Linked DNA regions of Zea mays. The protein of the gene in region 1 binds, or shares a complex with, the protein of each later gene. Links are inferred from orthologs where the notes say so. Each region holds a gene or a part of one and is shown in the gene's direction. Other genes may lie near its edges.

Region 1 (3,773 bases):
TGCAAGAGGACCTCAACAACTTCACAAGGAATGAGGTATGGTATTTAGTTCCATGTCCTAACCAAAAATTAGGGTGTTACAACTATTAGGGCTTGTTTGGGAGAAACAGGATTGGAGGGGATCGAGGGGTTAAAATTTCTTACTTCTCAATAAGCCCTTAAGTGATTTACTAAATTTTAGGTACCTGAATTTTAGTTTTTAGTGTGTTGTAATTTATATAGACATAATCTACATTTTTACTCTTAAGAATAAAATATCTATTGAACAAAATCATAAATTTGGTAGATTTTGATTTGTGTTGACATAAAGACCATTAACATTTTGCAATTATTTTAGTAGTTAGCTAAGGGAAAAAATATAGGTTATAACATAAAGGTAAACAATAAAATTATAGTCTTAGACCCCCTTTGGACCCTTGGAATTGAATTCTAATATAATAATTGTAATTTAGACATAAATCAATTAAACTAATATGGTTTTATAGTGAGTATATTTGTATATTAGTGTTGGCCATATTTGAGAGATATTTATATGTTACATTTCTACTATAGGAGAGTGAGTAGAAGAGTGTGTTATAAATTACAGAGTAGAAACGTAGAATTGAATACATAAAATCAATTTCCACCCCATCTTATGAATTTGAGATGAGTTTATATCTAAACTTTGGAAAGTGGTGTAATATCAAATTCAAATCAAATAACCTACTCTATTAAATACTCCCTCCAGTCTTTAAATACTTGATGTTTAAGTGATTTTCACTTTGGATGCAAATACTTGATGTTGAAGCATTTGAAGCTTATTTTGGACTAGCAAATGCTTGATGTTGAAGCATTTGAAGCTTATTTTGGACTAATATACCCTTGATATAAGTGGTTCACACATTCTTCCACATATGCTTAATTATTCTTATCGTGAAGGTTTGATCTCACGACCTAGTGTAAAATTCTTTAGGACCCAACCATCTAGGCTAACATCTTCATGTGTTTGTTGTGGAATCTAAGCGTATTTATTAGGGGTATTATGGAAAATAACAACCCTATTTAATAGCTCCTTGGTATATGAGGTCATGTCCAAAACATCAAATATTTGAAGACTGGAGGGAGTAAATTCCAATTCTTTGAAAATAAAAGGATCCAAATGGTCCTTTATTAGCAATCAGTGGTATATAAGAGTGTTGCCTAAATTTTAGGCACCAAAATATGAAGAAGTGTGCTATTATAAAAAAGAAAAAATATTTCAGAAAATTGTCAGCCTGAACAAACTATGCGCTTTCCTTCAGCCAAGGCAGCCTCAGCCCTCGAGCCTATGCCTATCCAGGCGCAGAACACGCCATTTGTAAACCAATCCTAGCCGTGCGTCTTCAATCCAACGGAAAGTTCCTCCTTGTCAATAGCAAATCGGAGGCCCAAGCGCTCCCAATCTCTCCGGGTCCTCTCTCCGCATTCTCCGTCATGGCTGAGCCGACGCCGTCGCAGTCGCCAGCGCAGACGCCGCCCCCGCCGCCGACGCAGCAGACTCCCGCGGCGGGTGGGCTCGAGGACATGCTGGCGTGTGTGGCGGCGCTGGAGGCCGCGCTGCTGCCGTGCCTCCCCGCGCGCGAGCTCCAGGCCGTCGACCGCTCCCTCCAGTCCTCCCACCAGAGTACGGCCGACCCCCATCATTTCCCCACTCTCCTCCTCTAGAGGTAGCTTCACTTTGATCCGGCACGGCTTCGACACCAGTAAAGTCTCATGGTGTTCGGTCGGTTAATGGCGCCGTCGCGCGCCACATGTTCGTTGTTTTGCCTACGGGATGGATAAAGGGATCTTGCTCTTTCTAGAGGAAGATTTTGCATCTTTCTTGTGCCCAGGAAATTGTATATCGATTGGTTTCTTAGGTCCTAGACTGAGAACTCAACTTGTATCAACTGTACCAATCAGGCAATCACATTGCAATGCTTATTAAAGAAGTAAATCACATTTTTAGATACCGACTTAATAGTGTGCAATGCTTATTAGAGAAATTTAATTGCATTTTCTCATTCGTTCCTGCCAAACAGGGTATCTAAGTGTTGTAGTCTCTACTAAATTGGGCAGTTGATGTTGAGAGGCACGCAAGGGATTTCATGGAGGCTGCCAAGAAGCTCCAGTCTTATTTCATCAGCCTGCAGCGTGAGGAACCGCCATCTGCAGAAGAGATGCTTCGAAAGGTATATTTCTACTTTATCCTCGTATAGTTAAGAGTGCGGCAAGGATAGTAGTTAAATTAAATTGGGGACTGGTTATGGAGAATGAATTAATTATAAAGTGTTTGGTTTGAGGAATGAGCTAGTCCATCGTCTTCTCACTTCTCTTTTTTTATTTGATTTGTGGAATGAAATAAGGAATGGAGTCATTCCTTATAGTTAGTTAGTACTAATATGAGAAATAAGGTCATCCCAGCAAATTTGAGGAATGGACTCATTATACACCACATCATTTTGGATTGAGTGACTCCTCAAACCAAACACTCCCTTAAAAGTTTTCATTGGTGATAGGATTGACATTTCACATGATATGATCATCCCAAGTACTGTGATCATTTGTGGTTGGCACTATACTTAGGAATAGCCAACTTTATAAATCACATAGTGCTACTTGCTACAGGCAGTTTGTTACACTCAGTATAAGCTTTATTACAAAGACTCCTATATTTCTACTCGAAGTTGAGGTGTTCATTATTGAAAGAACTGGTAGCCTGCCTGAATCGTCACTTCTACAAAGTAATGTTCCCAAGGAACACCCAATCACATTCATACACCTAACACCTTCTGTGCTCATGAATTTTTCATGCACACGTTTCTGTAAAAAAATGCCTTTGCAGTAGTTGAGAGAATCACAGGTGCATAGTTGCTGGTCTTAATTAGGAATTTGGGATACATATACCCACCCAATATTTATCATCTCGTTGGCATGTTCGGTTTTGCATTGCACAGGAGATTACGACAATGGAGGAAGAGTTGAAGAGCAAGTCTGAGCTCATTGCCAAGCACAAGAAGTTGATTGAAGGGTGGCAAAAGGAACTGAAGGAGCAGCTGAGCAAGCACATCACGGAGCTTGAAAGGGTGTGAGGAGTGCGATTCTGCGGTTTACCTTGTAGTGATCATGAACCTCTAGGTGACCAAATGTTATGTTATGCCCTATAAAACTGTGTACATGTGCTTAGAATCTGACGCCATGGTTAGCAATCGCCTTTTGTTGGTTTCTTAAGGTTGGAAGCCACGAACAAAGCCCACTTTATCTATGTTTGATTGTGTACCTTTACTTGCCCCATGGTCTCTGTTGTTGTGCAAAATGAGTCTCTGCCATCATAAAACGACATAGAATGCTAACGGCTTCCTGTCTTTATGGGTAAACTTTGGGTGAATTTATGGGTAAACTTTGGGTGAACTGTTGGAGTCAGCCTAGCGGGTTATGTGCCTACTCTGGATGGCCGCCATGTTCGCAAGTTCCTTTCTATCTTTACTCCATTTGTGCCTGGATCAGCTCGAACAGAACCTTCTCCTGACAAAAAGCCGAGCCAAGTGGCACAGTTGCTACGTTGAATACACGAGCAAGCGAAAAAAAACACTTTGTGTTTTATCTCCGTTCCTAAAGGTGCACTGCCAGGTTGTTCAGTAATCCACTACTAGTCAAAATCTTTCTCAATCCATTTCAATACACCTTAATCCATATGATTTTGCTATAAAATGAACAAGACCTAAGGACATAATCCTTGTCATCACAATTCATATGGATTGGAGATAATTGGATGAG
Region 2 (2,172 bases), on another chromosome or scaffold:
TCGAACCGTGGCCCTCTTCTATAGATATTCTAAATATTGTGTTACACAGAGGATAAATATTGTAAATATATATACATACTAATACATTTAAATTTAAAAAAATATAATCATGCCACGTCGGACCGGGCCGGCACTATAGACTGAGACGGTGGCTCAGGCACGACATGGTTCTCAGGTCGGGCCGCGGTACTGTTAAATGGGCCGTGCCTTGGGTCAGTCTGCTAGACACGACCTATTTGGCTATCTATAGTACAATACCTTCTTTCTCACTATCTCTGATCTCGTGAGCGTGGAAAAAAGCGAGAGAAAAAACTTCATCTCATCTCACCACACATCCGGTTTAGACCGTGTTTGAATAAATATCTTATTTAAATAAGATTTATCTTTATGATATATAAAAACCGTAGCAACGCACGGACAACTAACCAGTAATTTTGTTATTTTGCTGCGGTTCATCTACTGTCGTTTCATACACTTAGTTTTCTGTCAGTTACTTTATACAGTTCTAATATCCAATTGGTCCTGGTTTCAGTGTGCTGTGATACAGTTACCATCGCAAACTCTGTTGCTGTCGATGGCTGACAAAGCAGGTCGTTTGATTGGCATGCTCTTCCCTGGGGTAATCTTGATTGTAGTTAAATTAATTAATGTTCTGCATAATTATCTGCATTTACTAAATGACCTTTTCCCAGGACATGGTGGTGTTCAAACCGCAGGCCTCAACTCAGCAGACACCAATGCAGCAACAGCAGCTACAGCAATTTCAACAGCAGCAGCAGCAGCTGCAACAACACATGCATATGCAGCCGCAAGGCCTCCCACTTCAGCAATCACAGATGCAACTCCAGCAACAGCAGCCGCAGATGCAACCGATGCAGCAGCAGCAACCTTCGCAGATGCAGCAGCAGATGCAATCGATGCAGCAGCAGATGCAGCCAATGCAGCAGCAAATGCAGCATCAACAGCAACAGATGCAGCATCAACAGCAACAGATGCAGCAAATGCAGCAGCAGCAGCAGCAACAACAACAACAACAACAACAGATACAGCCTCAGCAGCAACAGATGCAGCAAATGCAGCAGCAGCAGCAGCAACAGATGCAGCCTCAACAGCAACAGATGCAGCAAATGCAGCAGCAGCAGCAACAGATGCAGCCTCAACAGCAACAGATGCAGCAAATGCAGCAGCAGCAGCAACAGATGCAGCCTCAACAGCAGCAGCAACCCCAGATGGTGGGTACAGGAATGGGGCAGCAGTTCATGCAGGGGCACAATCGGGCAGTGCAGATGATGCAAGGGAAGATTACGCCACAGGGGCCGGGCAGCATGCCTGGGGGAGGCTTCCTACCTTAAGCACCTTTTATCAGCAGGCATCAGATGAATTGAGGGTTTACACTGACCCAAGTGTTGAGATGTCAACTTCATTTGACAGGGTTAGGGAATAGTCACTCGGGGAGTGTTGCTAAAACTTAATCTGAAAACTTAAGCATCCCTGTCACCGATAGGTAAATGCCAGATGTCCATGCATAGGTGCATACTTTATGATATGGTGGTGTACTCGTAATCTTGAGTGACTTTATGGCATTGTTGTACTAGCCGTAAACTATTAGGTATAACAGAATTATTATTTAAACTACAGTAAAATAAGTGACCTGTGTTGTTTAGGGTTTAAATGGTACGTTAAATAGGTAGTTGAATCATTTAAGCAGTTTAAACTGTCTAAACGATTTACATTGAATCGAGCTAAACATGATTAAATAAGCTAAACAACCATTTAATTCATACTTTATTCAATATTAGCATGATTAAATAAGCTAAACAATCATTTAATTCGTCGTTTAGTCAATATTAGCAAAATTGTTTGTTGCAATAGGAATGTAAGTAAAATAGACTGATGCATAAATTTTAGTATTTGATGATTAACATAATCATTTGAACTAATATTGCTTGCTAGTATTTTAAGTAACATTATTTATTAGTATTTATAGATATAGTTTAAAGGATGCAAAGTGTATTTGAATGAAGATAAATTGGTGGTATAAATGATCAAAACCTCAAGCAAGACATTGAAAAACGTGTTGAAGACCTTTTATAAGAATATGTAGATGCATCCGAATTGAACACAAAGATCATAAAAAACTAAGAGAACACTTTGAGCATATATTGGACTATA
Region 3 (4,149 bases), on another chromosome or scaffold:
AAGAATTTTGCCCTCATAACGATCACGCGTCACCTAGTGTGTGTAGGCATATACTTTGTATGGCGCATTGTGCTGCCTTCCCCGGTATACGGGTCACTGTAGAGGCTCCAGTGCTGAGGTTTTTTCTATGACTGGGTTGACTGACCCCACATGGCAGTGGGGATACGCCTTAGAGCGTACGTGGTGGCGTTCAGTCGTGTCGATAGTGACCTCCTGGCGCCCCTTCGGTACGTTGCACATATGTCCGGACGTGGGTTGATGATGACGCGTCTTGTCGTAGCCATCACGGGTTAATAGCGTTAGGTTGGGACCTCCGCCTCGTATGGTTGCCCAATTTGGAGTTGGTCGACCGCTCCTCCTCAAAGGGTTGCTCAGTGGGGAGTTGGTCGGCTGCTCTGCTTTGCGAGGTTGCTCGTCGATGAGTTGGTCAGCCGCTCTGCCTCTCGACGAGGAATTGGTCGTTCGCTCCATCTTGCAAACTTGCTCGACGGAGGACTTGGTCGTCCGCTCCGCCTCGTAGGCTTGCTTGGCAGAGGGTTGGTCGGCTAATGGGCCGGAAGGAGGTTGTGGGCTTACTTTTGGTTACCCTGTTCCTAGGTACATGACAATTTACATAGTAGAGTTCTATTTGGTAGAGCTCTTTTAATGGCCCCTCAACAGCTTCTTCAAAAAGGCTACCAAATGGTGGGCTCCTCTCGTGGCTTCTCCATAAAAATAGGAAGGAGATGTCCCTAAAAACCGAGGAAAGCCCAGAGCCTAAAAAGGAGGCTTCTCTGACTCGACTCTCTCTTGTCACTCACCCTCCCATGAAAATAGGAGTAGTTGTGTTTTAACTAAATAGAGTGTTCTCCAAGGGTTACTAAAAATAAGGATCAAACTATTTTTTTCAGATGAGCCAGAAGGAAAGCCGGTGATGCAAAAATCCTACCAAAAGGGAGCCTCAGAAGAGTCAACCCACTTTATAATAGTACACATATTCAAGTTTTAAAATTATATATAACCTTAAAAATCATCTATATATTTTGAGCTTTTAAAGTGGGCTAACACGAACCCTACTAGATGTTAGTGTCGGCATGACATGATTAGACACTATAGTGCCGTGTCTAGACAATAGTACTAACACATCACGACACATTTACTAATAGTGTCTAATAACACCATTAATGCTGGACAGACAATCTATTTAGCCATCTATAGATGAATAAGGTTAAAAAACACTATCTATCTCCTCTCGTATCTAATATCTATCCACTATTTCAACTCCAACGCTACAAACAAAGGTATGACTATCGTACAACAACAGTTCTTTAGACGGCCATATCAGCTGGACACAGCCACCGTACTCCGAGATTAGCGCCCCCGTCGGCCAAACAGTACCGGACTGGCCGCCGTTCACAGTTCACGCCCCGCGTGGTCCCTATTTCCCGGCGAGCACTAGGCTACCGCCGCCGCCGTCAGGTGCCGGTGCCCAGACCTTCGTCGTGCCCATTTCACCGGCGACGAGCACCCACTAGGTATGCCCGTCCCTCCTCTCCCCTATCTGCTTTGCGAAACCGAGCACTCAAAACCTAGCTTAAGAATCGGATCTGATTCAGGAGTAATTGCAAGTATATGCATGTATTATTATGCCTACTAAATTACTAATAACTTCGATTTTTCCAATAGCCCCTGCCCGCAGGTGTTGGGAACTGGGGATAGAGATGGATCACCACCACCCGCAGCAGCAGCAGCAGCAGTACGGCGATCCTTACCGTGGGCTCATGACGTCCCCGCAGCCCGACCACCACCTCCACGCTCTTCAGTACCATCAGCCGCAGCCGCAGCAACAGCCGGCGCTTATGTCTCCACCGCAGCCACAGCCAGCACTGATGTCTCCACAGCCGCAGCAGACACTGATGTCTCCACCGCAGCCGCAGCAGCATCACCACGCCTCTCTTGCCTCCCACTTCCACCTCCTACATGTAAGTAACGGAGTGTTTGGAGTTGTGTGGAGTTTTGTGTTTTGGGGGCCTTTGCTCTTAGTTTAAGATAGCATAGATGATACATACCCTCAAATGAACCCTTCTTTTTGTAGTGATGTCATTGATGTTGTTGGAGTGTGCCCTTTGTGCACCGGAATTTCAAAATTCTGAACTTGGGATTTTGCTAGTCATTAAAGATTGTCATTAATTTGTCCTGTATTTGTTGCTCAGCGATTGCAATTTCTTCACACCATGATTTGTCACTTTGGCCGGTAGTGAAGATTGCCATATTATAGGTGTACATGAACGATATACAAGCGTCAGAGCGTGCAACATTGGTAATGGCCAGAGAAAATGTTGATTCTAATCACTCGAGTTGGTTTGACAAGAAATACATAAATTAAAAATATATATGAGGGCACTTTAGGTATTGTAGGTTTTCTTAAGCTGGCAATCACATGTCTGTATTGGCATCTAACATTTAGGCTTATTTCCAATGGCTTTTTTGCAAGTAGCAAATCTTTGTTTCCACTTTTATGATGGCTCTTCTTCCTTTTACTCTTTGAGAAAGTACTAGAATGTATTGTGAAATACTGATAGTTTTCTTCTTTGCATAATTTTGTTCTCTGTTAGTTGGTTACAAGATTAGCCGATGCTATTGGTACAGGAACAAGGGACCAAAATTTCGATGCACTGGTAAGAATCACCATTTACTAATTTTCATTTGTTTTATGGATCAATGTTCTTGTACTCATAGTGCATGATCTTGTCAGAAACAATAGTTGTAGCTTCTTCTAGGCGTGGAGCCTGAATATTCTTATACAGAGTTTGAATTGACATGTGATGTAATTCTTAAATCACTTCCCAGAGAAGAGACAGGTCACAAACAATGCTCTAGTGTTGGTGGTGCACAGGAAGCTTGGGACCAGCCCAGGGTGACAGGGTCTGCACGGTTCAGTTTTCCATAGCCAAAACCAAGCCAGTGGAAGACATACCCTTAGTTATGCAATTATGCAATTGCAGAAGCATGTTAAAATTACTACTATGTATTGTGTACTTCCATGCTGATTTCTTATAGAATACCAGCTAAACACCATATTTTTCCCAGCGTTTTGCTAAATCCTAATTCCAATAGCTACTGTATTAAGAGAAGCTTTTTATATATATCTAGGTTGAAGAATTGACCAGCCAGTTTGCTAGGTGCCAACAATTGTTGAACTCCATATCGGGAACAATAAGCTCAAAGTCTACTGTAAGTTCTGTTACTTCTCTTTCCTGACTCATATGCTTTATTCTTAGTGGTCTTCTGAATTTGATAATAATTACTAAGTTAAATTGAACTATTCTGGCTAATGAATCTCAATTACTTTGTTTTGGTATCCAATAAAATTTTCAATTGCACAAGAATTAAGAATTTTTTCCAGAAATGGATAATAAGACGGGGTATAGTAGATCTGTTGCAGGTTTTTGTGTTGTCTCATAAAATGTCTATAAATATTCATGTCTCTAGGCAAATCCTTTTAAAAAGTTAATTCACATTTATTTAAACATCAACAGGAGCATTGCCATATTATATAGAAGGCATGGGACTAAAAGGCTTTCTTTGGGACTGCCCCAACTTGATTGGAGCTAAAAGGCTTTGTTGTTGCCAGAAGCACTAGCATATCATATAAGAACTCAAATGTGCACGGTGCACACATGTTGTCCTCATGCTCAAACACGGATGAGGCTGCCCAAGCAGTCTTGGAACGTGCCTACTGAGCAACTCACACACATAGAGGCTTAGTCCCCTCTGATGAAAATCCCGTGTGACACCTGAGTCGCCCCAGTCAGGGATCAAACTCGGGTAGTAGCGCTCGCACGGTCGCACCGAGCGGCCTTAGTGCCTTACCACTGACTTACTGAGCCATTGTTTTGTTTTCTAATTCACAATTATTAGTTGTTAAGAGTGTCTAAAGTTTGGCTAGTTTTGGCAGTTTTTACTGCTGGGTTACTAGTACGTAATAACTGATGTTACTAGCCAGTAGGGACTGTCGGTTTAGTGGAGACCGGCATGAGCTGCCTTCCTTAAAAAGCCCTAGTTTTCCAGTTGATACCGGTGTCAGTGCTGTCATTACGATCTACAATATTTAGAACCATTTTAATAGACCTAATATTGCTAATTTTATATGTTGTATGGTGCTGGTTA
Region 4 (4,238 bases), on another chromosome or scaffold:
ATAAGTATAGAATGAATCAGAGTAAGGTAATTAGGAAAGGGTTTTGTCCATTTCTATTTAGGTTTCGTCCTACAGTCAACATTTTCTCTGATACCACTTCTGTCACACCCGGATTTAAGGAACAAAGCCGAATGCATCTCATACATGTGCCAAAGAAGACAACATATATAATAACAGAGTGTATAGAGATAAATGTCACAATAACATCAGAGTACTTATTACATCGCGGAAGTCTTACAAAATAAAAGATAAATATAAATCGAACTAAAATCCATCTTTAGCGCCAATAAGTCAACTGGGAGATGCCACCTAGATTAGATCAAACTCCTCATTGTGTGCCTCCTCCTGAACCACCTGTTCTTCTCCTATGGGGGTGTGAGACAGAAAGGGTGAGCTCACATATGATCATAGCTCAACAAGTTGTGGGGAAACTAGTGTGCATGAACTCACCAAAGGTGAGAGTTCATGTGAAGTGTAAGGCTGATCAACAAAATAAAGGTTGAAGCTGAGCATTGCTTTTATAAGTTGGTCAAAATTTTATTAGCAGTTACTAAGTGTAAGTAAATACCAAACCATAATAAATAATAGAACAAAATTAATAAGTAATCACATGCAATGCAAATGACAAATTGAATTTAAGTTCCATTAATTAATCATGCGACAGTTCTGAGCTGCTCATGACCATGAGCTCGGCTAGTATACCAGTTTTACACTCTACAGAGGCTGTACCCTGTATCCACAAGTAATGTTACCCATCTACCAAGGGATCGCGACTCTCATACACCTCTACCAAGGAAGCGAGACAGGGCAACACTACGAGGCCTTTATAAAGTTCCACTAGATTTCGACTTGCAAGAATCCCCCGTCTGACCGCCATCGCAGCAAAATCAACCGAGAACCTCTCTGCATGTAACTCTCTTACTGCCGTTGCCCCTTTCGGGTAAGGTAGTTTTCCACTAGCTTTCCTAATTAGTTAGTCAAGGGGTCTCATTCCTCTCTTGTGGTGACACATGTTTCTCAAGTTAAGCTCTATGTTCCAATTAAAGATAATAATCTTGACATGAATAAAAATAAAATAACAAAATAATTGGAACATGGATATAATGAAATATTAACCCAAAACCATGTAAAGAAATAGTAAAACTATCAAGTGATTTAGGAATAAAAAGGTAAAGTGATAACATATCTAGAGTAACCTATTAGGTCTTATCAAAATTAAAATAAAAAAAGTGACAAATAAGGCTGAACAACCCCCGCACCGCGACTAGGCTGAACAATCCTGACTCAAGCCCACGGTTTATCTTTTCTGTCCGAGATCACCAAATTTTGATACTTTTTTCGTTTTCGCTATTAACCAAAAAAACAAATTTCAGTCCGTTTTAAATGGATTTGATTCAAAATATAACAATATAAAAAATAAAAGATTAGTCAACGAAACGAAATTTGGATCATTCCAAACGAGACTGTGAACTCTCCCAGCTCAAGCCCACCTCCCTGCTCAAGCCCAGCCGTCCACTGCCTGGCTCCCTCGTCCGGTCGTTCCCGTCTCCCTCCTCGCGTCGCGTCCACCATTGTTCCTGTCGACGCTGCGCCGCACGGCTCGCACCGCCGACAGTGCCTCAGTCCTATCGAGCCTCCCTCTTCCCAGATCAGGCCCTAGCTGGGCTACAGCCGCCGCCGCCGCTGCCGCATCCGTCACCTTCACACCGCGTGCGCGCGCGCTCTCTCTCTCTCTCTCTCTTTGCGACGACTGGACGGGCTACCGCAGTCGCCACCATAGGCACCACGCCCTTCGCTGATCTATTCGCTGGCGAAGAACGCTCTCAATGTATTCCCACTCCCACCCCCTTCTTCTCTCTACCCGCTGTGCGAAAACGAGTTCCCGAACTCTAACCTAACTATTTGATGTCTACTAACTTCTAATTTTGTTTTTTACTGCCATACTGGTCCACCCCTGATACACATATAACAAATCCACTAACGTGATTCTTTTTTTTTGGGTGCAAAATCATTGTGGGACAGTAGAAGATCGATGGAGTGCGTGGTGCAGGGAATCATCGAGAACCAGGTATTGTGCCACAATGCAAGTTGGCACTGATGGTTTATGTAAAATTTGATTTTCACGCATTCCACTAACATTTGAAAGATAGGAGCTCTTTCATCATCGTTAGTGCAGTCTATTTTGTTATGCAGATCAGACATTAACTTTTCCTCTCACTGCTTGCATCTAGATTTGATAAGTATTTTGAATGGTGTATAGATTGTTAATATCTATTTGTAAGTATATACTTATAGTATTGAATTTGTTGTTGAACATTTCGTTACTAATTGAATTCCGTTGCTGTGGACAAAACAATCTCATATTGATGTACATGTACAGTGCACAATGTTGAGCTTACGCACCATACAATCTAGCTTCATTTTAGTGTTCAGTTGAGCTCCCTTAGGTATGGCCACTATCCATAGTTGCCAGTTGGTGGTCACTTTTCTGTTTACTCCATCACAGATAAATACTAACAAAAGTTTATTTTATTGAAGTGATAAATAGATAGATCATGTAGACCACTAAATGTCAACAATTTATTCCGCGCTTTAAGGCACTACTTCTGGAGCTTTTGATTTCATTTGTTTTTTTTCTTCTCAGCATGTTAACAGAATAGTAACATTTAATATACAGTTGGGGGAACATATGATCTATCCTTGTGCTTTTACAATAGAGAGGAACTTAATTTTTTGGTATGTTCTAGTTTATGTGTTGTGCACAGAATGTAAGTTGCTCTTTGTTGTACTGCTCTGCCATTAGTTTAACCTTTGTTTGATCTTTCCATTTTGCAGCATGTCGATGCTCTTGAGGTTCTACTCCAGGGACTCTCTGGTGTCCCGAAAGAGCGTTTTAGGGTGCATGAGCTCTGCCTTAAAAGTGGGCCCAATCTAGGTTAGTTTGTGATTAGTCTACTCCTCCATTCCTACACATGTGGCGTATTAACTGACGTCTTGCAATCATACAGGTGTTGTCCCATCGGAGGTTCGTTTGTTGTGTGACTTAGCTCAGCCCACACCATCCTGGTAACCGAGACAAGCTGCTGAAAGTCTACCTTTTGTTATGTTTATCATTAATTGTGACAAGATTGTAGGACCATAAGACATGTTGGTGGTGCCATGAGAGGTGCTGGTGCGGAGCAAATCTCAGTTCTGGTTCGTACAGTTGTGGAGAGCAAAGCTAGCAAGAACGTCTTGCACTACTTCTACACCCTAGGGTACAAGCTAGACCATGAACTCTTGAAGAGCGGTTTTGCATTTCGTTTCCACCGAGGTGCCCAAATCACTGTCACTGTTACATCTGCTAACAAGATGTCAAGGCTCCATGCAACCGATGAAGCTACGCCAGTCACTCCTGCCATACAGCTAGTGGAAATCACAGCTCCTGCTGCTGCTGATAATTACAATGATGTTGTTTCAGCTGTCACTGCGTTCTGTGAATATCTTGCCCCGTAAGTACCCCAAAGCTTGAATTCCGAGGCAACAATCAGAAAACATATAAGAATGAACCAAACACCTTTTTGGTTTTAATAATCCTTGGAAATCTGCTGCAGGCTGCTGCATCTGTCAAAACCAGGACACTCGACAGGAATCGTTCCAACAGCAGCCGCTGCTGCTGCCTCACTCATGTCAAGTGGCGGTGGCAAAACCTTGTAATGCTGCTAGGACAGCCAAAGTCCGTTCTTGCTGCTAGGACAGCCAAAGTCCGTTCTTTGAGATGAGTGGGCGTGGCTAATGAGGTGGCCTTCTTCGTGCCGAGCATTTGAGCAGTCAGTTTTGCCTGCTAGTGTTGTCCATGTCTGACACATCGTTGTGCCAACCTTGCTCTTGGTTTGACTGGTTGCATGATTGCTGATGGGTAATGCCCTGCCTTGTAGTTGCAGGGTGTAACAATCTAGTATTACCAATATTAAAATTTCTCAAAAATCCAAACCATAATTTCTTTTCTCAAAAAGAAGTTTATCTCATGTGTATATATTTTTCAACTAGGTGAGTGCCCGTGCGTTGCGACGGAAGTAAAAAAATTGTATGAAATATATAAACGGAACGACAAATATCATTATGATATGCAAAATCCGTATGGTAAACATTATCAATATTAGTGGCATGTCCTTTGTGGAAAGACCACCCATTAAAAAGTCATTGATGCACCCATCGGTCGAGACGTTGACAGGAGATTAGTATGACACTTAAGATTG
Region 5 (3,500 bases), on another chromosome or scaffold:
TAACTTTTTCGTAAATCGTAAGTCAAACTTCTCTAACTTTGGCCAAGTTTTTAGAAAAATATATTAACACCTAATTGTACAAATAAATGCTCTATGCCTCTATCAAAGCTTATTGCATGGAAAATTTGATAGAGCTTATTGAATGGAAATTTTAATTAAAATAATTTGGTGCTATAGATGTTGGTTCATTTTTTCCATAAACTTGGTCAAAGTTAAAAAAGTTTGACTTGGTATGAAGCCAAAGTGAATTATAGTTTGGAATGGAGGAGGGAGTATCACGTAGGAGTAACACTCTTTTTTGCCCTGAAGACAAATAATAATATATTTATGTCTTCATTCCTGATTTAGCATTTTCAACTTCCTAATTTTGTGACTCTTTCCTTGTCCCTTCAAAATAGGAGTGGCCGCTTTCTCCTCCAATCACCAGAAAATATATTACCCCGTGCTGCACTTATGGACTGTGAGGAAGCTCTAAACAAAGGGAGTACATCAGCTACCGAGGTTTTTTCAAGCCTTAGGACCAGGAGCATTCTCCACCTACTTGCTGCAACTGGAAGTTTTTTTGGCCTTAAGGTTGTTTATATGTTTACAAATATACAAAGATGTCTGCTCTTTTCGTTTAGTGGATGTGGTGTCATCTTTGCTTGTTGCGTATCATTTGAAGTACCATGGGATGCATGCAATCACACTGCACTTTTGATCAGTAATATCCTTACAAATAGTTAGATTGGTGACATATAATGATGAAAATGCTTTGTTGACTTCCATATTATGATGCTTTGAAGTATACTTTTGTAGTATTATTTATGATTATTATTATTGTGGAATCAATGAGATTGATATTGGAGACCACAAGATGACACCCTTTTAAGTATGACTTAGCAGTTGTAATGCTTGTTCAAATTAATTGTTGCTTTTCTGGAAGTGAATTTTCTTTTAGCCTCTGAGAAGAGAAACAGTACAAATGATGTTTGCTTGGTTACTTATATGGAATATAAGGCAGTCTACGGTAGTACGGTTTATTATCAGATGACTTGTTGGAGTATGCCAAAGTCTGCTTGTTCAAACATGAAGTGCTAAACTACATTGTTTTTGTTTTATAGGTTTACCAGCAGTCTCAGGGCACTCTGAAGATTCCCAAGACCTTATTACATGGCTCAGATTTGATGGTCATGGGGTTTCCACATTGTGCAAATGCCTATTATCTGTTGATGCAACTTGATAAGGACTTCAGGCCTGTTTTTCATTTGCTTGAGACACAGTGTGATGCAAATGGTAATACTAATGCAAGTGGAGATGTGAAAGAAGCTATTAGATATAACAAAATCAATATAGGACAGATGCAAATACTTAAAAATGAGATGAATGAGAACCCTTTTGATGTGAAGCTGCAGGCCCTACAAAGTTTAGTGGACTCTGCTGACATGATGGAGAGTGATCTTCCTGTCCAAAATGCAATTGAACCTCTTCCACTACTTCCTGCTTGTTCACCATCATTTTCATCTATTGTTGATGAGGTTTTCGAATATGAACGTGGTTCTACTGCTGCGCAGAATCGTTGTCTTCCAGTTGATATTCAAGGAATAAATGCTAGGGTTGTCTCACCAATGCATGATGGATGCTTATCTTATACCCAAGCTAATAATAACATGAATGTTCATCCTAATGTCAGTTTGAATAGCTATTTCCCAAGTAACTTTAGACATTTACAAGGTACAAACACATTTTCTTCAAACCCTGTAATGTCTATGACCAAATTGTCAGGTTCTAATTCTAATCATGACCTGTGCTCGCTAAGCTCTCCATATGACTATGACATTGCAGGTGCAAATAAATCACTTCAGCTTGTGCCTTCAAGCAACGATAACAGCAATCAAATCCCTGCTCAAAGCTCACATTCAGGGAATCTTGGGAATGCTACGCCTGGCCATTTGATTGGATCTTCAACTACAACCGGAGGTATTTTACTATTTTTTTCTTCTATCTATTAGAGTCAGATGTAAATCTTCTGGTAACCATTATGGTGAACTAGATTACAATTTAGATGTAAAACTTTTGGTAACCGTTATGGTGAACTAAATTATGGTGTCATTGGAAATATAAATTGTTCAAATATATGTTATCTTAGTTGGGCAAATTTTCAGGATTAGGGAAGCTCATCACTGCTGGTTCTGATGGTGCATCTAGGAAACACTATCTTTCAGATTTCTTATCAAGTATCCCTTCATTACGAGGACTGCAACCTAGTGAGCCAAGAAAGCGGAGAAAAAAAACAGAATCAGTGCAGAGTCTCCTGCCTTTGCAGGCACACTCTTCTAATTTGCAATCAAGAGGCAGTCTCACCTATGGAGATGTTCTTGCTGAAAGAAATAATTGTGTTCCGGCAACTATATATGCTTCTGTGCTACTACATGTCATAAGACACTGTTCATTATGCATCAAACATGCCCAACTCACTGCTCAGATGGATTCCCTTGCGATTCCATATGTTGAAGAAGTTGGTCTGCGGAGACCATCGTCTAATCTTTGGTTGAGATTACCTTTTGCACAGGATGATTCTTGGAACCATATATGCTTGCGCCTTGGTAAGGCTGGAAGCATGTCTTGGGATGTTAGGATAAATGATCCACATTTCAGGGAACTTTGGGAACTTAATGGAGGAAGCACCAAAACACAATGGGGTGTTGGCATTCGCATTGCGAATAGCTCAGAAATGGATTCACATATCTCATTTGATTCCAGTGGTGTTGTTTTAACTTACAACACTGTTGAGGCAGATAGTGTCCAGAAGCTTGTGTCAGATTTACGCCGACTTTCAAATGCTCGTTCTTTTGCTCTTGGAATGAGGAGACTGATTGGTGTGAAATTTCAAGACAAGCTAGATGACAACCAGTTAACCATGGAGGTGAAATCACAATCTGTTAATAAAGGTAACAGTGATGCTGCTGACAAGCTATCTGAGCAAATGAGAAAGACATTCAGGATTGAAGCTGTCGGTCTAATGAGCTTATGGTTTAGCTACGGCACCATGCCTATGGTACACATAGTTGTTGAATGGGAGATTGCTAAGGCTGGTTGCACAATGCACGTTTCTCCAGATCAGCTTTGGCCACACACAAAGGTATATCTTCCTTTTCCAATTTTTTTTCTAGACCAATCACATTGGATGTGTACTTTGGATCTTAAAATATCAAACCTACAGCCAATATTTGAATACTTTCGACATTGAAAGTTCACCAGGTTACTCAAATGCATATCAATGCTTTTATCAGAAATAATAAAAATTTTATGTGTTTAGCCACTTTGTAGTTCCATCGAACCACAACATGCTGTAAATTAATCCTGACTGTCAATTTCAATTGGAAAACATGTCCTTGAACATTTTCCTGCGAACAAATTGACATCGTGCAGGCTAACCTGTAACCACTGGCCACTGTTCAGTTGCATACTTGCCAGCTTTTGCATTCACAAAAAGCATTTTTCTTATACATTTATCCTCT
Region 6 (2,952 bases), on another chromosome or scaffold:
TATCTTTTGATTCTGAACTTTTTCCTCTCCGTATCACCAGATTCCAGAGCTGGCTGCTTCTCTTATGGCAATCTGTGAAGTATTTGGGTGTCTTTCTCCAAGTGTTTCCTGGACACTGAGAACTGGAGAGGAAATATCTGCTCACACAGTCTTCTCGAATGCATTTATTCTTCTGTTGAGACTTTGGAAGTTTAACCATCCACCACTTGAGTATTGCATAATGGGAGATGGTGCTCCAGTTGGCTCGCAGCTAACTCCTGAGTATCTTCTGCTGTTACGGAATTCCCAGGTCCTATCTTCCAGCAGTTTGTCAAAACAACGAAACGGACAAAGGCAATCACAAGTATCAACTTCACACCCATCATCTGGAAATCCTATTTTTATGGACTCGTTTCCAAAGTTGAAGTTATGGTACCAGCAGCACCAAGCTTGTCTGGCCTCAACTCTCTCTGGACTTGCTCATGGGACACCTGTACGTAACAATGTGGATAGCCTTCTTAATCAGATGTTCAGAAAAGCTAATAAAGGAGGCACATCAATAGGTTCTTTATCTGGAAGTAGCAGCATAAGTAATTCTTCCAGTCCTGGTGGGGATGATTCACATCTTTGGCCTCAGTTGCCAGCTTGGGAGATACTGGAGGCTGTTCCTTTTGTGGTTGATGCTGCTCTTACTGCTTGTTCCCATGGAAGACTATTTCCACGTGAACTGGCCACAGGTCGGTTGTGTTCAGTTTTAAGGCAATTTTAGAAACCAGTGCTACTTTTATCCGATAATCAAGAGTAAAGAGTACCAACCGTGGCTTCTAACCTTTATGTTAGAAAATGCTCATTCAGGGTCAGGGTGTATAACTATGTCATCTCATTTTTCAGGCCTGAAGGATCTGGCTGATTTCCTCCCTGCATCTCTTGCTACAATAGTAAGCTACTTTTCCGCTGAGGTGACGCGGGGTGTCTGGAAGCCTGCATCCATGAATGGATCAGATTGGCCTAGCCCCTCTGTGAACCTATCCATGGTTGATGAGCACATCAAGAAAATCGTAGCTGCTACCGGTGTTGATGTTCCAAAGCTAGTTACAGGTGTTGGTTCCTGTTCATCTCCTGCCATTGCTACAGCCAACATACCAGTTTTCATGCAGTGAGTACTAATCCAGGTCTCATGTATTGCAGGAGGAAGCTCTTCAGGTACACTTCCGTTACCATTGGCTGCTTTCGTGAGCCTCACAATCACATACAAGCTTGACAAGGCATCAGAGTGTTTCCTCAACCTTGCTGGTCCAGCTCTAGAGAACCTGGCTGCAAGCTGCCCTTGGCCAAGCATGGCAATCGTTGCAGCACTGTGGACCCAGAAGGTGAAGCGATGGAGCGATTTCCTAATATTTTCAGCTTCGCGCACTGTGTTCCACCACAACAACGATGCAGTCGTCCAGCTCCTCCGAAGTTGCTTCGCCGCTACCCTTGGCATGTCTTCGACATCAGTATGCAGCTGTGGAGGTGTCGCCAGCCTTCTGGGCCACGGGTACTGCCCTGGTGGTTTCTCGCCAGTTGCGCCAGGAATCCTCTACCTCCGGATATTCCGGTGCATCAAGGACTGCTCCATACTCGCCGAGGACATACTCTCCCTTCTGATGCTCTCAGTGAAGGATATCGCAGAAACAACTGTGCCCAGACAAAGGCCAGACAAGCTAAAGAAGACCAAGTACGGGATGAGGCATGGCCAGGTATCTCTTTCCGCTGCAATGACGCAGGTGAAGGTGGCGGCATCTCTGGGGGCGACACTCGTCTGGCTATCCGGCGGCACGGCTCTCGTCCAGTCCCTGATCCAGGAGATGCTGCCGTCTTGGTTCCTGTCCGCGCAGAACCTGGATCAGGGCGGGGCTAGCGGAGGCGTGGTGTACAAGCTAGGCGGGCACGCGTTGGCCTACTTCGCGGTGTACTCGGGGATGTTGGCCTGGGGCATCGACCAGACGCCCGTGTCCCGGCGCCGCGAGAGGGTCATGCGGTCGCACCTGGGGTTCCTGGCGAGCGCGCTGGCCGGGAAGATCTTCCTCGGCTGCGACCTCTCCCTGTGGCGAGCCTACGTCTCTGGGTTCCTAGGACTGGTGGTTGAATGCACCCCGTGCTGGGTGCAGGAGGTGGACCTGAGGGTGCTCAAGCGCCTGAGCAGCGGCCTCCGGCACTGGGGCGAGGATGAGCTCGCGGTGGCGCTCCTCCGCCGCGCCGGTCCCGAGGCTATGGGCACAGCCGCGGAGATGATCTTGGGCAGGGAGTTGTGACGCCGATGCGCGCGCGCGCCGCGCGGCGTATGCTGTTCGTCAGCGATGATGCAGTTTTTGTATATAATCGGTTAAAATCTGGCCATGTGTATGCTCACGGGTAATATTTGAATGATTTTATCTGTAAAACTGTTAAGACGTTTTGATCTCTCTAATACTAACCTTCATCTACCCGTTTGCAAAAAAAAGAAATGATGTACCAGAATGTAAAACCTAGGTTTATGAACGGACATGTTTGGCACAGTTCTCATGCAGCTTCCACTGAGTTGATTAAAGTTAGACCATGTTCCAAAGCTATAGAGTTAATTGTCAGCCAGCTCATAAGAGCAACTTCAATAGAGACCCTAAACTCATAAACAATTTCAAATATAAAGCCCCAACTAGAAAATAGAGGTATTTCCTTCTATGTAACTAGCTGAATGCCCATGCGTTGCAACGGGAATATATAATACCAGTATACTATGATAACTTATATACAAAATGTGTTATATCGTTATGAGAAAATGTTTCATAACCAATTTGTGATTCTGGCATACATAAATTTTGTTATTTATAATCTATCTGTTTCACCACTACATTGCAACCATCAGTATCATGCAAACTTCGATATATGTTACGATTTGCATGGTCTCATCATTGGAGAGCACGTTCCACACATACCGGAAGAAATTTTCTCGTA
Region 7 (3,578 bases), on another chromosome or scaffold:
CCGATGTCGGACGACTTTGTTGTTCCTGTCCACTTTGAAGTTGGCCAAGAACCTCGCTTTTGCCTCCTGGATCATCTGCTCCTTGTGCTCCTCGAACTGGAGCTGTTCGTCAGCCGGCAAGGTCTCCTAAGTCGGCTCTATGATGTTGCTTGGGGAAATATTAGAGCTATCTCTTGAACCGGCCATTGAGGGCCGATTTGATGCGTCTATATTTGTGTCCCCAGCGGAGTCGCCAAAAAGTATGTTGACACCTTTTTGGAGGCGCCAATCACTTAAAAAAACCAGCGGCGGTGCTCTCTGGTCAGGCGCGGACGGTCCGCGGCACAGGACCGGACGGTCCGCGACTTGGCGCGAGGCGGTGGTGCTCTCTGGTCAGGCGCGGACGGTCCGCGACACAGGGCCGGACGGTCCGCGACCTGGCGCAGGAGCTAAGGTTCCCTGCCTGACGGCCGGATGGTCCGCGCCCTAGGGCCGGACGGTCCGCGCGTGCGCAGGGGCGGCGGGAGATCGCCGGCGGCGCCTGGATCTCGCTCCCGGGAGGGACCCCGTCGGGGAGGAGAGATCCTAGGTGGTGTCTAGGCTCGGGTAGACTGACCTAGACTTCTCTAATCGACGTAGAGTCGAGGAGAGGCGGAAGATTTGGGGATCGAGAGGCTAAACTAGAACTAGACTAGAACTACTCCTAATTGTACAGGAAATAAATGTGAAATATAAGTTGTATTGATTCGATTGATGATTACAAATCGGCCGTATACCTCTCTATTTATAGAGGAGGGGGCTGGACCCTTTACAAACTAATTTCCGAGCTTTTCCCGCGATTTTAGCTAACAAACATAGCACAAAACTCGGAACCCTAATTTACTCTGCGCACGCACGGACCGTCCGGCCCACAGGCGCGGACTGTCCGGACCGCGGACTGTCCGGCCTCCGTCCGCGCTCCTTTTGGTGCCAAACAATTTATAATTTTGTCACTCTCAGTTTTGACTTTATTATATTATCCCATATCTATAACTGATAGAATCATCTGTGTCTATAATTTAGGGTCCGACGTCATATTAATGAAGCCTATAAATGACAATGGTAAAATTGCCGATGGCTCAGCATTCTGCAAATGTGTGGTGACCGGAAGACTTGGTGGTATCCCAGGAATATGAGCGAGCATCTTTTGAATACCGGCACATACATTTTTTAGATCCGGCCTGGTCCATGCTACGTGGGCTGGATCCTGCAGACCCATTCCTGGATGAAATCGGCCTGCTACAATAAAGCCGCCGTCCTGCAAGTCTGGGACGGAGGAAGGAGAAGAGGGAGAGAGTGGTGGGGATTCGGCATGGACATCATCACGCAGCTGCAGGACCAGCTCGACGAGATGGCCGTGCTGGCCGTCAACACCTTCGGCACGCTGCAGAGGGACGCGCCGCCGGACCGCCTCTCCAGCAGCTACCCTGACCCGCTCAACCCCAACCCTAAGCCCGAGGACGACTCCAAACCCCAGGTCCAGGCCCAGCCCGGCGCGCCGCCGCCGCCACCGGCGCAGGCGCAGGCGCAGGCGCAGCCGCCCGCGCCTGACCTCACCGAGCAACCCAAGGCTATGAGCCGCGCCCTCGTCCTCGCGGCCAAGAAGGTAGGTACCCTGCCCCACTTCTCTTCTCGGTGTCCCCATCTTCTGGACCAAATGCCCGCCCGGTGATTCCAAAATATCTTTGTGTGGTTAAGTAGAAAGTTTCGGCTCGCTTCGTAGTTTTACTCGTAAGTCTGATGCTGCGAATAAGTGAAGGACCAACTGTTTAATTTTTGCTTGCTTGCCCGCGTTATGTGGAGACAAACAATGAAACCGTGTTGCCACTTACTAGTCTTCATATCTTGCTCCATTGCATAAGATAAGATGTTTATCCCAACAGTGTACAGAACAATCTTCATCTCTTGCTCCATTACATAAGATAAGATGTTTATCCCAACAATGTACATAACGTAGAGTCTTCATCTCTTGCTCCATTTCATAAGATAAGATGTTTATCCCAACAACAGCGTACAGACGTAGAATCTTCATCTCTTGCTCCATTTCCTAAGATAAGATGTTTATCCCAACAACAGCGTACAGACGTAGAGTGATGCATACGGGAGGGAGGGAGTGAGGGAGATCACTTTGTGTTAACCATGGTTGAAAACTTGAAATGTAAAGACTGGCAAACTTTAGTTCAAATTATGCTTGCTGCAGTTCCAACTTTTTCCCCTTAAATGAGGAACAATTATGGCCTTCTATGCAGTTTGATGCACTTGTTGCAGCAGTGCCACTATCATCAGAAGAGGATCAAGTGAAAAGAATCCAAGAGCTACAGGTAGATATCAGACAGTCAGATTAATTCATCGAGCACAGGATGGGCATCTGCCAAACTCCTACTCCAAATAAACTGTATGAAAATCTGAAATTTGCAGGCAGAGAATGAAGTCGTGGGACTGGAGCTCCAGAAGCAACTTGAAGCTGCCGGTAACACGATCCCCACTGTTTCTAGAGTTCTTACTATTATATGTCTAATTACTGATGTCATTGCGTTACAGAAAGGGAGTTGAAGCAGGTTGAGGTGCTGTTTAATGAAGCAACAGACAATTGCATAAATTTTAAGAAGCTAGATTAATTACGTTAATGTAAGTTGAGATGAATTTCTTCCTACAACTTATCAATGCACTGTCAAAGTCAATTTCTCTTTTAATTTGGCTCCAACAGTTACTTCTTGGTTTTGTATGTATTTGGCATCAAGTGTTGGAAACCGATCTAGCTCATAAGATATTGTGTTGACGTAAATCCAATGTCTGCCATAGCAGGTTTGCTGAAAAGAAACTGTTCCTGTGGATGGAGTGTGGAGGATGAATGCCAGTAAGAACTTTATATTCCGTCTTTTCAGATTCTCTACTAGTGAACAATAATTGCACTTAGCTTTTGTGTACTGGCATTCTGATCTGCCGGATTAGGATTGACCTTTGGTTGTAAGGTGCAATGTTTTTAGTATGAACTGACGCTTGAACTGTGGTGGTCTTTTTAATGGATCTGGCACCTGGCTTCCTCTGGGATTTCTTCTATATTTTGGTATTTGTTCAGTACCTGAGACCTTTGACACCTGTTCCTAAACTCCCCTCCAGCCACTGGCCTGGAGTAGAACTGTATTTGGGAAATAAAAGCACGGAAATTCTCTCTACAGTGCTCAGACATGATACTGGTTGGTTCTGCAAGGATACTCCCTGCTCACTCACACAGACACAATAACAAAACAAAGAGAAGGAAAAGATGCATCATTCCCCTACAGCCTTATTCATCGTCCGTTGAGCACAGCAGCAGCAGAGCAGCCCGTCGTGTCAAGCATATTTGCAGGTGCCAAGGCCTGCAAGAGGATCCAATGATCCATCATCCGGTGTCAGCTCCCCCAACACGGTTCACGGGCAATGAGACACTCACAGCAAGCAAGGAAGCACTCACTGGGGTCAGTGATGGTGATTATGCCGGTGCCGTTGAAGAAGCAGTTCCACGAGTTCCTCCCCCGGGCCTGGTAGTAGGCGTTCATGGCCACCGACGCCCGCGACAG

Evidence for each region.
Region 2: Mediator of RNA polymerase II transcription subunit 28-like (region 1) and mediator of RNA polymerase II transcription subunit 25 share a complex: the UniProt entries of both Arabidopsis thaliana proteins name them as parts of the mediator complex. The link is inferred for Zea mays from reciprocal best matches to the Arabidopsis thaliana genes AT3G52860 and PFT1.
Region 3: Mediator of RNA polymerase II transcription subunit 28-like (region 1) and uncharacterized protein LOC100276155 share a complex: the UniProt entries of both Arabidopsis thaliana proteins name them as parts of the mediator complex. The link is inferred for Zea mays from reciprocal best matches to the Arabidopsis thaliana genes AT3G52860 and MED9.
Region 4: Mediator of RNA polymerase II transcription subunit 28-like (region 1) and mediator of RNA polymerase II transcription subunit 18 share a complex: the UniProt entries of both Arabidopsis thaliana proteins name them as parts of the mediator complex. The link is inferred for Zea mays from reciprocal best matches to the Arabidopsis thaliana genes AT3G52860 and AT2G22370.
Region 5: Mediator of RNA polymerase II transcription subunit 28-like (region 1) and mediator of RNA polymerase II transcription subunit 14 share a complex: the UniProt entries of both Arabidopsis thaliana proteins name them as parts of the mediator complex. The link is inferred for Zea mays from reciprocal best matches to the Arabidopsis thaliana genes AT3G52860 and SWP.
Region 6: Mediator of RNA polymerase II transcription subunit 28-like (region 1) and Mediator of RNA polymerase II transcription subunit 33A share a complex: the UniProt entries of both Arabidopsis thaliana proteins name them as parts of the mediator complex. The link is inferred for Zea mays from reciprocal best matches to the Arabidopsis thaliana genes AT3G52860 and RFR1.
Region 7: Mediator of RNA polymerase II transcription subunit 28-like (region 1) and Mediator of RNA polymerase II transcription subunit 21 share a complex: the UniProt entries of both Arabidopsis thaliana proteins name them as parts of the mediator complex. The link is inferred for Zea mays from reciprocal best matches to the Arabidopsis thaliana genes AT3G52860 and MED21.

The regions. Positions count from the first base shown.
Region 1 is NC_050103.1:84,916,337-84,920,109, reverse strand, and holds Mediator of RNA polymerase II transcription subunit 28-like, read left to right. Parts: upstream 1-1,305; 5' UTR 1,306-1,451; coding exon 1,452-1,641; intron 1,642-2,075; coding exon 2,076-2,188; intron 2,189-2,953; coding exon 2,954-3,088; 3' UTR 3,089-3,273; downstream 3,274-3,773. UniProt on the Arabidopsis thaliana protein: Component of the Mediator complex, a coactivator involved in the regulated transcription of nearly all RNA polymerase II-dependent genes.
Region 2 is NC_050097.1:178,589,898-178,592,069, reverse strand, and holds the end of mediator of RNA polymerase II transcription subunit 25, read left to right. Parts: intron 1-532; coding exon 533-619; intron 620-692; coding exon 693-1,352; 3' UTR 1,353-1,672; downstream 1,673-2,172. UniProt on the Arabidopsis thaliana protein: Component of the Mediator complex, a coactivator involved in the regulated transcription of nearly all RNA polymerase II-dependent genes.
Region 3 is NC_050097.1:1,837,529-1,841,677, reverse strand, and holds the start of uncharacterized protein LOC100276155, read left to right. Parts: upstream 1-1,349; 5' UTR 1,350-1,514; intron 1,515-1,665; 5' UTR 1,666-1,700; coding exon 1,701-1,961; intron 1,962-2,594; coding exon 2,595-2,657; intron 2,658-3,132; coding exon 3,133-3,213; intron 3,214-4,149. UniProt on the Arabidopsis thaliana protein: Component of the Mediator complex, a coactivator involved in the regulated transcription of nearly all RNA polymerase II-dependent genes.
Region 4 is NC_050100.1:126,532,858-126,537,095, reverse strand, and holds mediator of RNA polymerase II transcription subunit 18, read left to right. Parts: upstream 1-1,438; 5' UTR 1,439-1,828; intron 1,829-2,022; 5' UTR 2,023-2,032; coding exon 2,033-2,068; intron 2,069-2,835; coding exon 2,836-2,935; intron 2,936-3,008; coding exon 3,009-3,066; intron 3,067-3,134; coding exon 3,135-3,491; intron 3,492-3,593; coding exon 3,594-3,696; 3' UTR 3,697-3,960; downstream 3,961-4,238. UniProt on the Arabidopsis thaliana protein: Component of the Mediator complex, a coactivator involved in the regulated transcription of nearly all RNA polymerase II-dependent genes.
Region 5 is NC_050097.1:176,295,864-176,299,363, reverse strand, and holds part of mediator of RNA polymerase II transcription subunit 14, read left to right. Parts: intron 1-398; coding exon 399-573; intron 574-1,103; coding exon 1,104-1,713; intron 1,714-1,824; coding exon 1,825-1,959; intron 1,960-2,144; coding exon 2,145-3,121; intron 3,122-3,500. UniProt on the Arabidopsis thaliana protein: Component of the Mediator complex, a coactivator involved in the regulated transcription of nearly all RNA polymerase II-dependent genes.
Region 6 is NC_050097.1:165,228,203-165,231,154, reverse strand, and holds the end of Mediator of RNA polymerase II transcription subunit 33A, read left to right. Parts: intron 1-40; coding exon 41-716; intron 717-870; coding exon 871-1,077; intron 1,078-1,167; coding exon 1,168-2,273; 3' UTR 2,274-2,452; downstream 2,453-2,952. UniProt on the Arabidopsis thaliana protein: Component of the Mediator complex, a coactivator involved in the regulated transcription of nearly all RNA polymerase II-dependent genes.
Region 7 is NC_050099.1:37,999,029-38,002,606, forward strand, and holds Mediator of RNA polymerase II transcription subunit 21, read left to right. Parts: upstream 1-1,330; coding exon 1,331-1,624; intron 1,625-2,267; coding exon 2,268-2,339; intron 2,340-2,436; coding exon 2,437-2,488; intron 2,489-2,559; coding exon 2,560-2,636; 3' UTR 2,637-2,646; intron 2,647-2,820; exon of another isoform or gene 2,821-2,823; 3' UTR 2,824-3,078; downstream 3,079-3,578. Other genes in the region: putative X8 domain containing family protein isoform 1 precursor, read right to left, coding at 3,352-3,377, 3,473-3,578. UniProt on the Arabidopsis thaliana protein: Component of the Mediator complex, a coactivator involved in the regulated transcription of nearly all RNA polymerase II-dependent genes.